3 linked regions of the Neodiprion lecontei genome follow. The protein of the gene in region 3 purifies or fractionates together with the protein of the main gene of each other region. This does not show direct contact. Links are inferred from orthologs where the notes say so. Each region holds a gene or a part of one and is shown on either strand. Other genes may lie near its edges.

Region 1 (3,759 bases), on a different chromosome or scaffold from region 3:
TCCTGATTCATATTTTCCCAATGCTCATGATGTTGTAACCTACCATTCGAGCAGTTGTAAGTTGTATTGTTTTTGTCACTACAGATTCCCCAGCTTTTACAGATGACATTTTTGCACTTTGTACAGGGATGGTAACTAAGCCTAATAGAAAAATATTTTGTTACATGAGAAATGTGAACTTTCTGATAACTGAAAAGACAGATATATAGATGGGTCCTATAGAAACAAACATATTTTGACAGTCCAGATAGAAAGGCCGTATTTCACTGGGTAACCTAAAACGGATCTATCTTAAAAGATGCTAAAAGTTGTGTATAGAGCTCTGTATGGACATGCTGTAACACTTTTTAAGTTACATCCATTCTAGATTGCGCGGCAAAATATAAGTGTTCTATCCGACCCATCGAAATACTTCTGTTTTCATAGGATCCGTCAATATGTACTGCAAGAAACTAGGTAAGAATCTGTAATACTCACGCTGACCAGGTGTTGAAGAACCTTGCAAACTGATGGTTCTCAGTACTTGTGTCCCACTGGACAAGACCTGAGTGTGCAAACAGTAATGGTCATAATATCATCACAATGAACCCAGGGTGCCCACTCACTAAGTGATTCAATATCCCCCGAATTGCTACACATTTAACTGACCACTGGGCACCCTGTAAATACAAAGTTGAAGCTAGAAGCTGGAAGCTTACACTAGCAGGCGGGGATAATTCTGCGTATCATCTATTGAATCCCTTGATTAAAAAATGTACAAGATAGCACACGTCAGAAATACTATATGTTGTGAGACAGTTTGAATTTTTGTTTTGAGAACTCCTGTTTGTGGCCATTGGGTTAAATTGTGATATGAATCAGCTCATCCGAATAGGTCTATAAATATGAGCTTCAGTGTCATCTTAGAAAGCTTTATGAACCATACTCAGTAGTCATACAAATGGGAACCGTAAAAAATATTCAAGATGGGAGTGCAGAATAATATGGATTGTACTCATTGTATAACATAATTAAAATATGTTTGCAAACCTGTTGAATATTGGTAGAGCAATTTTTCAATATATGGTAATTATTAGAAAAATGATACAAATGTTGCGAGTCTGATTATATATTTTAAATGATATTTACTTGGGTATCTTGGCCAGGTGTCTTGAATACCTTCAAACTCCCGGAATTTGTGGTGCTAACAAGCCCAGTTAGTGCTTTATTCGGCGTGCTCGGAACCACTTTAATAACTTGTGGTTGGCCTGTAAGAAAGTTTATTTTTTTTAAAATATCACAGATTAACAATTTTATATGATCCAAAACTTCAGTTAATCAACTAATGTATGTACATTAGATGGCTCTTCTGAGTAGTATCAAGTGTTTAGCAGTAGGGAATACTGAAATATTTAAGATTTCATATTGAATGGCATTCGTCCTTCAAGAGTCAATGCTGCTGTAGTACACAAATTTTAGAGGCAAATCAACTGATTGATCTTGAAGGCAAATAAGGAATGCCCTTGTTGCTAAGAAGAACAATAATGAATTATTTATATCCTAATTGAGATCTACAAGAATGATATTCAGTGTACGACTGATTATCAATACACGTTATTACGTGAAAACAATACAGCTAGTTTAACTAAAATAGGAATACCAAACAGCAATATCATTTAACATTAATCTTCAATTTCCAATAGCTATTTCTCAATGAAAGTGAACCAATTACAATCACGCGAGCAGTACTAAATATGTTTGTTTATTATTCATGGATTCCACAAGTATATCAATAAAAGAACAGAGAATTTGTCAGTGTCAATGTGTAAATTGTAAGTTTAACGTAAGGAAATCCAGAACTATACAGTGGGATGTTCTAGTTATCGATAAGTAAATGAAAGTGATTGGGATATTCTGTAAATCCTTAGAAAGAAATCTCGATCAAGATTATTAATGTAAGATTCGGTTACAAACAAAGATTGCAAAAATTGCATTCTTTCGTTCGCGGTATTCTGGTAGTAAACGCGAAACACACGTTTTAACGTGATTGAGTTTAGCAAGGAGCCTGCGATCAAATTGACGAATCCAAATAGAAATGGATATGCGAAATATAAGAATCGTGAAATTTGGTTAGAAAACGCGCTCCTCGGTTGATCGCACGAGGTATTGTTTCACACTTCATTCGACAAGGAATATTCAGAGACGGAGCCGTGCGTGCCGATTGTTGGCGCGCCAGTTGGACGACTTACCATTTGCGTCGTGTATCAAGAAATTCATCGTTTTATTTTGCTGGGTCATCACTGATGCTTCTGGATATCGAAGGTATCAAATATGATCCCGTAAGCGGACTGAAATTCGCGTGAAAATAAAAAGATCATAAGTGCAATAGTTAGGTCGGACTCGACGTATCACCAAAATGGCGACTCCGGCATTGCACTATTTGTGAAGTAAATATTGTAAAAACCCGGTTACCAAGTATCAATAATATTGCGAATTATCAAAATAAACTAACCGCGCTATCGTGCGCGACACACAGCTTCTCGTTGAATCGTTATCACGACATTAACAACGCGTCAGTAAAATACAGCTTTTTAGTGCAAGTAGAGCCGAGACGAGCTTGGCGGTAGCACAAAGCTAAACAGCTGATTGGCCAGTGCTGATCACGTGGTTCGCTCCGTTCCTCATCGTTCCCCGTCTACCGCAAACTTCAGTCATTGAGTATCGAATTATGTGTAGCTGGGGAACTCAGCGCTACTACACAAAACGTCAGTGAATCAATGTATCTGCGAATCACAGTGCAGAACGACCTCCCTATTTCGTTTCCTTTCCATCCCACCTGTATTTTGTTCCGTCGTTCACGTAGGACCGGCAAAATGGACGATATAGCGTCAAGGGTTCCCGATCATGTTTTAGAAGTGATATTTTCCTACTTAAAATTGCACGATTTGCGAAATTGTTCCTTGGTGTGTAAGAACTGGTATAGAATTTTGAACGATGAGAATAATGATGTATGGCGGTTACACTGTATTAGAAAACTCGCTGAAGAAGCGCTCAAGTCGGATTTGCTGTCATCGGTTCCCACCTATAAAGCCAAATTACGAGCTTTTTACCATGCTTGGAACCCTGACGATTGTTCCCGCAATATTTACATCAAACCAAACGGGTTCACTTTGCACCGGTAGGTGCAATAGCAGTATATTTTACGTTTTGTCACGTGCTGTGATTGAGTTGACTTCAATGCACACAACATACCCGTTACTTTAAATTTTCACACAAACCAAGCGATTTTCTTCATTCCAATATTCGCTTCATTTTCAACCTCCAGAAATCCAGTCGCTCAAAGTACAGATGCCTCTCGGAGTAAGATAGGATTCCGCCATGGACGTCATGCGTGGGAGGTAATTTGGGAAGGTCCTTTGGGAACCGTAGCTGTGATAGGAATAGCAACGAAAGAAGCATCTCTACTCTGCCAAGGGTATGTAGCTCTACTTGGTTCCGACGAACACTCTTGGGGATGGAACCTTGTCGACAATCATTTGTTACACAATGGGGATGCACAAGGCAATTATCCTCTTCTTAACAACGCTCCAAAGTATCAGGTAAGCTGATAATTTGCTACATATTCTTATCCATCAAATTGCAGGCACCAAATTTCAGGAAGTCAATGCGCGGTGTGACTCAAATGCCAAATGTTCATTTGAATGAAAATTCCAGCAACATGTACTTTGTAAGATTTGTTGAAAAATTTTTCCACCAATTAAATTGAAAATTTATCAACTT
Region 2 (3,759 bases), about 3.8 Mb from region 3:
AACGTTGAAATATATGTGTGTGCGTGTGTGTGCGCGTGCGTGTGTGTATGCATGTATTTTAAACACCTGAAAAAACTCGAATGCCTTTGTTTATATTTTTTTATGACATCGTCAATTTTATATCAACGAACGTCTGTAACGCGTTTTTGCATGCCCGCGATTTTCGCGAAGATACATTGTTGCTCACGGCGGTGGCAGCGAGCAACAATGTATCTTTCGCGCCAATGTTCAAATAATTGAGGGTTCGGATGATCAAGGTTCTACTGTATTTCAATTTTATTTCTATTTTAAATGATAAGTCTCTTGAAGCCGTATGAATGTATGCATAACTTTGTTGAAGATCTATAAAAATAAGGTAAAAAAATGATGTTTCTAAAAAGTTAATGTTCCAATACTCTATCCTCAGGCAGCCAAACGATTCCATGATATCCAGATTCTTCAGAAAAAATTGCACAAAAAACTGCCACTGAAAATTCATTGTTAAGAAGATAAGTGAACGAAGATTCGAAATAAATATACATGAGCCTTAACCACTAGCATTAATACTTGTGGAAGTTAGAGAAATTTAATCTCCAAATTATCATAAATTTATACCACGGTAAAACACATTTCAATGACAGTTTCTTATGCAACCTTTTGTGAAAAATCCGAAAATCAGGTTGCGTTGGTCGCGTGAGGATTCAAACCATTGAAATATTGATTGTTTGGAAGCATATTTTTTACGTAGTTTCCTTAGCTTTTCGATAAAATCAGGATTAACAAGGTGAATATACGGTTATTTTTACATGAAATAAATATATTGATGAAATTGAATAAAATTCAATGACTTCTTTCAAATTTTCGAAGTTTTCAATATTTTCTCTGAAATTTTGTATGACCAAATCTATTACCAAATAAAAATCTGGACGAAACAACATAGGATTGGAACACCAAATAAAATTCACTGTATAAGACAAGTACCGAGGATCATTATCAAGCGGGAGGATCCAGTAAACTGAGGTAACTCCATGGCTTGCGTTAAGTGCCGTGATTATGAATCGATACATAATCAAGCAATTGGATGGTGTGAAAAATCTTATCACTGGACGGGTTTGATGTTGATTGCGAAGATCTCTGATTGCAGTGTGTTAGAATCATCAAAATCTTAAATCAAACGGTCTCTCAAGCATGGTTTTTGAATTGTATCACATTCAAATATGTCACATTTCCTTACAGATGTTGGGTATGTGGTTTGGCACCGTCCCATTGAACCAGCCATTCTTCTGAAATTACTCTTTCATTTAATTAAACCACAATTGCAAGACCATCATTTCTATATAAAGTAGAAATTTTCTGAACTTTACGACATGTTTGAACTTGGAAACTATTTGATATCTGTAGTACACTTTCATCGTAATACTTTTTGTTTTTGTTTATGTGTATCCAACAGCTTTTTCTATTACTTATAATTCGATCAATGATTTATAAATAATCATACTCTAGTCTGAAAATCAATAGCAACATTGATGTATTGAAGCAAACGGAAATTCGAGTGATATTAAACAAAACGAGCAAATGTACATTGAAAAATTAAAAGCCCGAAATTGAAATGTGCACATTGTTACAAATATGCAAGTAGCTTGTGCCGTGCCTTACTATTTGAGTGATAATGCAATGATATTTATCATGTCCAAACTTACTTCCATTGTATGCTATTCTTGCTTTTTTTCTCAATCAGCCCAATTCCCTCGAGTACATTAGTGATGTCGTATATTCGTCTCTTTTGTCGCACCTCCAGTATATCAGCGGCCTAAGGGAAAGTGTTGGCACAGATTAATGTATCAGTCTTGTAAAAGTTTGAACGTTTCATGTAATAACCATTGAATAATCACACGCAGTCAGAAATTTTATTCTCATAATATATAAATTCAAATTTCGAGTGCTTTATCTATCATACAACAATAAAAATGTGTTACAGGTTAGGAAACTAACGAGATTAGTTTCTTCATTATGAACTCTGTATTCAACTGTGGTTAACTCCAAACCCTTATAAAATTTACCCGCATTGTAATTCATGAACTGGAACTCGTGATTTGCACATTGTCTGGCATTTTTGTCATGTTGTTTTTTTTTCAAAATTCCCGCAAGAGGAACCACACCAGCAGAAAACGTACACATATATGCTCATAATAAGTTAACCTAGATCTCGCGGTGACTTTTTGCTAGCTTACGTATCGACGCCGCTCACCACTTTCAGGTCCAATACTCCGTCTTTCGCCTTTTGTAACAAAGTTACAAACCGCGTCGTCAGCAAACCGAGTGACTTTTCGAACCTGCTCTGCTGATTGTCTGCCATTTTAAAAGGCCGTTGTCAAAATTTTCAAAACGAAACGCACTCCTCTTCGAAATTGCCGCACGCGATACGCCATCACCGACTGGCTGAACTCAAACTCGGGTTTAAATCATAGAGGGCGTCTTCTTGACCGAAGCAACATAAACGTATAGGTATGTGCTGGAAACGGCCGCAGGACCGATTGGAGCCTATAGCACGGTTTACAATGTCTGTAACCGTAAACGTAACCGCTTCAGTAGGAAGTTAAAGGATATGAAAAACCGTACTATGGTTTACAACGCTGTCTGCTGGCGCTTAAGTATAATCCGCTTCAGTAGAATCTAGCCGAATTTGAACGTTCTACTGAAGCGTTTCTACGGACAGCCAATCAGAATGCAGATTATATCCGTCCATCTCCCCACCCCCAAGCACACAAAACGAAAGGAAAAATAAGTCATTGAAGATACGACAGCAAGCAAAACAATGGAAAGCTTCGATATGAAATTAATTGGACTAGTTGAAAAAGCCCCGTGCTTGTATGATAAAAGTAGCGGTGATTATAAAGATAGGGTAAAAAAAAAACAATACGTGGTTCCGTATTGCCCGGGAGTTGAATATTTCAAGTAAGTGTTTAAGGTTACTTCATTTTGTATGTTTATATATAAACATATATGTATAAAATTTATACATAAAACATTTTATAACAAATTTAATAAATCTTTCCCAAATTCATTGACGACAAACTACTATATTTCTTCATAATGTGTTGTAAAAATATAAGATACAAGCTTAAAGTTATCTTGATATTTTGTAGCTGAGGATTGTGAGAAGAGGTGGAAGTTGTTGCGTGAGCGTTTTTCACGGGAAAAGCGCTGTGCCAGAATTGGTCCACCATCGGGAGCTGCAGGCGGTGTTTCCGACAGGCAGCCATCAAGCTATTTCAAAGCGATGCAATTCCTCGATTTGCACGTCAAACCAAGAAAGTAAGTTTCATTTTTCGTCTGATAGCAAATTAAGACTGTTTTTATCTTGGAAACATAATTGTCTTTTTCTATCAAATTTATTGACCAAGGACAAAACGATGTTTCACAGCTGAAATTCGCTTTAATGATCATTGTTGAATGTATGTTTTATACGTCGACTATTTTACAGGACAATTGGTAATATTCCACAATGCTCTTCCCAGAAGAAAACATTGTCTTCGGATGAAGAACCAGATATGGACCCGTCAGCGCATGATTGGGATGTGTATGAATTTCTAAATTCGAATGATGAAAATCAGTACAAAGAGGACTCTATCGGCATGATTATAACAGATGAAAATGGAAAGGTGAATTTACCGCCCAAGAAAAGGCGAACTGTCCCATTAACGAATCCTCCACAAGAAGGAAATGGAAAAAAAGTGAAAAAAAACAACAATGAAGATCTGATCGAAACGGTGAAAGATA
Region 3 (3,759 bases):
CGGCTACATTGTTTGATGACGGACATCATTCAACACTCTGAGCTAACAGGATAAAATCTAAAATTCCAGCCATTAGTAACATTCAAGTAAGCAAGCATAAACATGACAGTAGCAGTTTGATGACGAATGACATACAGAGGATAAAACAGGGTGATGAAACTTCATCGATTCAGGGTAGCTGATTCTAGCTGACAAAGTATACCTATACAGAGTATACCTATAACAGTTTTTGATACTCATGTACACTAATTGAACTTAGCATACTTTGTCATAATATAGTACTTTTTTTCCAATTGCCAAATGGAGTATGTGACTGATACATATCAAAGTATTTGAGGGTTACGTTAAATGCAATTTAATTCTTAAATATGAAGAAAAACCCAATCATCTAAGGTAAACAATTACGCACGCAAGATCATGCGCTTTCTTACCTATCAAAAAATATACGCTTGAAGTTTTAAATGTTGATTCGAACGAAAATATTAATGCGTCTATACTACATTAGTTGTTTCAAAAGACGTATTCACAAAAACTAATATGAAATAAATACATAATTTAATTTATGGAAAAATTTTGCCAAGAAGACTTTCGTGATGGGAATCGTTTAAATTTCCAAATGAACAAACATTCGGAATTTGAAACACATAGAAAAAAAAAAATCGTATGCTATGTCGAAGGTCTATATTCAGAAGCAGTTTCTTACCCAAAAATTTTCTTTCGTCAAAATCACCGACACTAAGAACGTGCTGTTCGTATGCTTTGTTGACGGCTTTGCTGTTGCCGTCAAAATTTAACGGCTCCAGGATACCTGAGAAGTTTGATTGATCTCCACGCAGAACCTTGTCATTGAACAACTTATTTATGTGATCCTTCAAGTAATATTCTTTAATCACTTTAGCCTCCACAGCGATACCTTCACGAGTCTCACACAGTAAACTTATAATACAGTTTGCTGTCTCCGGAGGTACGTAGTCATCGTTGTTGTAATTCGCAGGTAAACCTACATAGAAAGAGTATAAAATTAATTCCAGCTATCAAGAAAAGTTGAAACAAGTCTGAAAGAAGGTTTTGAGCTTTGAACAAGCATGCCAATCGGAAACTGAGTAAAGTCTCTACAAAGTAGTTCATCGCATATCGGTCAACAACTCACCAGCAAATTTTGGATTGAGCAGATCTCTCCTGTTGGCCAACAGTGCGTTGCTATAAATCAGATCGCAGCAGGCAAGAAGTAAATGATTTAAATTGACCAAATCATGTGATATATCAGGGAAAGCTCCCTTTATGCATACAAACAGTGTCCAACAAAACTCAAAAACTCTCGATGGTGTACATGGCATTGCTCTCTGCCTCCTAGATCTGGAGGGTCTAGCGACATCATCAGCTGGATTTTTGAATATGTCCGTGAAAATGGGTTGGTACTTTTTGAAGATAAGCATCGAGACAGTAAAATTCCTCTCAAGTTTGTCAATTTTAGATCTAAAATCTTGCGGCATATTTGCCATGTCTGCCCAGTTTTTACTCTTTGTGAAAAATTGTATCAGTGACAAATTACACAAATGAAGAAGACGTGTCAATGACACGCAGTTCCCCTCGACGTTTGGGCCTGTTCGACCAACCGTTGGTGTCGATGACTTTCGACACGCAACATACAATGCACAGCCTATCCAATGCAGTTGATCTCCCTGGAACGTGATTTCAATACATATTTAAGTAAAGGAATAACAAGAGAAATTTGGAAAGTTCTAAAATGACAGTAACACAAATCCTTGTTCAAATGTCTGAACTGACTCAGAAACTTAGGAACTAGTGAGAAGAAATATTTAACCATACAAAACAACGGATTCAATGTAGATGAAAAATGAGTCACATGGTAAAAAAAAATTCATGTAATTTTGATGCATTGAATAAATTTGATAAGAACGGTAATCATTCAAATAAGAGGGATTTTGATCAAGTTACTGAAAATATATTTTGAACTAAAGCTGTTGTGTGATTGCGACGTGTCGTTGTCGGAGCAAATCATAAATGTTACAACTGAGAAGTGGATTGAGTTTGATCGGATAGTTCATGATGATTCAACAATACAAATTGCATAGCCATTTTGTAGTGAAGTGTTTGAAGTTCGCAATTGTTTGTTAAATGTTTATTGTACATTATTGCACGTATCACGAAAATTCTAGGATTTTTTTGAATAATTGCTTTGGAGTCATCGAGAGGTGATAATTTCATTGTAATTTTGAGACGTTTATCTCAGAATTATCTATAAAGAGGCTATGTGCAGGTGAGGAACGTTTGAAAACATTGAAATTGTTGTTAGGTAATTAGAATGATAAAATACCTCAAGAGTGTAATTCTGTCGAATAGTCTCGTACGATTTCCAAGCTTCAGAAGCTGCTGTCGCGTCCATATTGAGTTTTTGGCATAAATCTTGATGCCTACTGTACGTAGAATCTTCAACATCGTCCGACTGCCCCATTTTTCAAATGATACTCACTATAAAATCACTCAAAATTACGGAAAACCCTCAATAACACAACTGGGGTGCGCCATACGAGGACCCGTAGCACCTTGGCGGGAAACGATGAACTGTCGCCATATTTGCCAAGTTGGCGGGAAATATAGAAACGAATATTTCATCCAAAAATATCATATTTAAAACTGCAAATTGATACATTTTTCCGATCGAGATTCGGTATATCTTTTTCATAATTTAAAAGCCGTAGTCTAAACAATTTCGAGCTTATTTATTTCGTATTTGGTACTATTTTATTACGCGTATTCTGAGGTTGTGCCAGATCCATATCAAGAAGTGCATAAAAATGTATTATTCCTCTAACTTCACTGGTTTATAACTCGATGTACAGTTTCTTCAACCGTCTTTTCAACTCATCATACTTTTGAATCCCAACATTCTCATCATTTGACTTAGTTTTCACTGCAACGGTGATGTAGCAGAAGTTGCACATTGACGCCTCGGTTGCGGGACTACTTCCAATAATTAGTTTGGACACCCTTACTACTTTTTTTCTGCTTTTCGTTCCGAGGCCATCATCTGGTTGATCCACCTAGAACATAACCTCAAATAATAATCTACTACGAATTGTCGTTTTTCTGTGACGCTGAAATGTTACTATCGTAAAATTCAGCGATTGTTTGAATTTATTACCGTTATCAATACTGCCTGTATTGAAAATTGCACGAATCGATAAGCCATGGCTAGCAAATGGCAAGATTTGACAAAAATAAAATTGTTTTATAACTTGTTCCGCGGTATCTCTACTTGCGATACGAATTTCGCAAAATCCTACGCCGCGAGGGAGGGAAAATTTATTTCAAAAATCATGAGAGGAGATCGGACACCGAGGTGAGAGTCTCAAATTGAGAGTAATATGCAACAAAATTAATGCGGTACTTTTCAAGATTTGTTTGAATAATAAGATTTTATGTTTCCACATTCAATTTCAAATTCATTTCATTTATAACAATCTTATTTCAGAAAATGGTGTCAGAGTAGTGACAGTTCATCAAATCCTCACACATTGTTGAAGCCACGCCTGCCTCATCAGAGTAAACGCAGAAATGATGTTCTGAACAAGCTATTCATGAAGTACATTACAGATCTACTGGCCACTGGAGAAGTAGCTCCAGATATTATTGATCAAGGGGTTGAAATATCTCGTGTCAGTGTGACACCAGATTTTAACAAAGTCAACGTATTTTGGTTTGCCAAGGATGGCGCCGAGTCAGATGAACGCATCG

Evidence for each region.
Region 1: the proteins of retinoblastoma-like protein 1 (region 3) and transcription factor Dp-1 purify together in Drosophila melanogaster (affinity purification with western blotting; 4 studies listed by BioGRID, with this or other methods). This does not show direct contact. The link is inferred for Neodiprion lecontei from reciprocal best matches to the Drosophila melanogaster genes Rbf and Dp.
Region 2: the proteins of retinoblastoma-like protein 1 (region 3) and transcription factor E2F4 purify together in Drosophila melanogaster (affinity purification with western blotting; 5 studies listed by BioGRID, with this or other methods). This does not show direct contact. The link is inferred for Neodiprion lecontei from reciprocal best matches to the Drosophila melanogaster genes Rbf and E2f2.

What each region holds. Positions count from the first base shown.
Region 1 is NC_060261.1:34,106,965-34,110,723, reverse strand, and holds the start of transcription factor Dp-1, read right to left. Parts: upstream 2,620-3,759; 5' UTR 2,492-2,619; exon of another isoform or gene 2,328-2,491; 5' UTR 2,278-2,327; coding exon 2,229-2,277; intron 1,361-2,228; exon of another isoform or gene 1,335-1,360; intron 1,248-1,334; coding exon 1,129-1,247; intron 545-1,128; coding exon 478-544; intron 142-477; coding exon 44-141; intron 1-43. Other genes in the region: F-box/SPRY domain-containing protein 1, read left to right, coding at 2,853-3,157, 3,305-3,578. UniProt on the Drosophila melanogaster protein: Component of the DREAM complex, a multiprotein complex that can both act as a transcription activator or repressor depending on the context. In follicle cells, the complex plays a central role in the site-specific DNA replication at the chorion loci.
Region 2 is NC_060264.1:11,860,085-11,863,843, forward strand, and holds the start of transcription factor E2F4, read right to left. Parts: upstream 2,462-3,759; 5' UTR 2,336-2,461; coding exon 2,228-2,335; exon of another isoform or gene 2,211-2,227; intron 2,182-2,210; exon of another isoform or gene 2,046-2,181; coding exon of another isoform or gene 2,040-2,045; intron 1,790-2,039; coding exon 1,680-1,789; intron 1,263-1,679; exon of another isoform or gene 1,047-1,262; coding exon of another isoform or gene 961-1,046; intron 1-960. Other genes in the region: uncharacterized protein LOC107216924, read left to right, coding at 3,260-3,294, 3,464-3,759. UniProt on the Drosophila melanogaster protein: Transcriptional repressor that binds to E2f sites and represses E2f-regulated target genes. Binding to E2f sites requires transcription factor Dp. Acts synergistically with Rbf2 to antagonize E2f1-mediated transcriptional activation.
Region 3 is NC_060264.1:8,083,870-8,087,628, reverse strand, and holds the start of retinoblastoma-like protein 1, read right to left. Parts: upstream 2,819-3,759; 5' UTR 2,477-2,818; coding exon 2,339-2,476; intron 1,683-2,338; coding exon 1,151-1,682; intron 1,001-1,150; coding exon 704-1,000; intron 1-703. Other genes in the region: uncharacterized protein LOC107222088, read left to right, coding at 3,213-3,364, 3,497-3,759.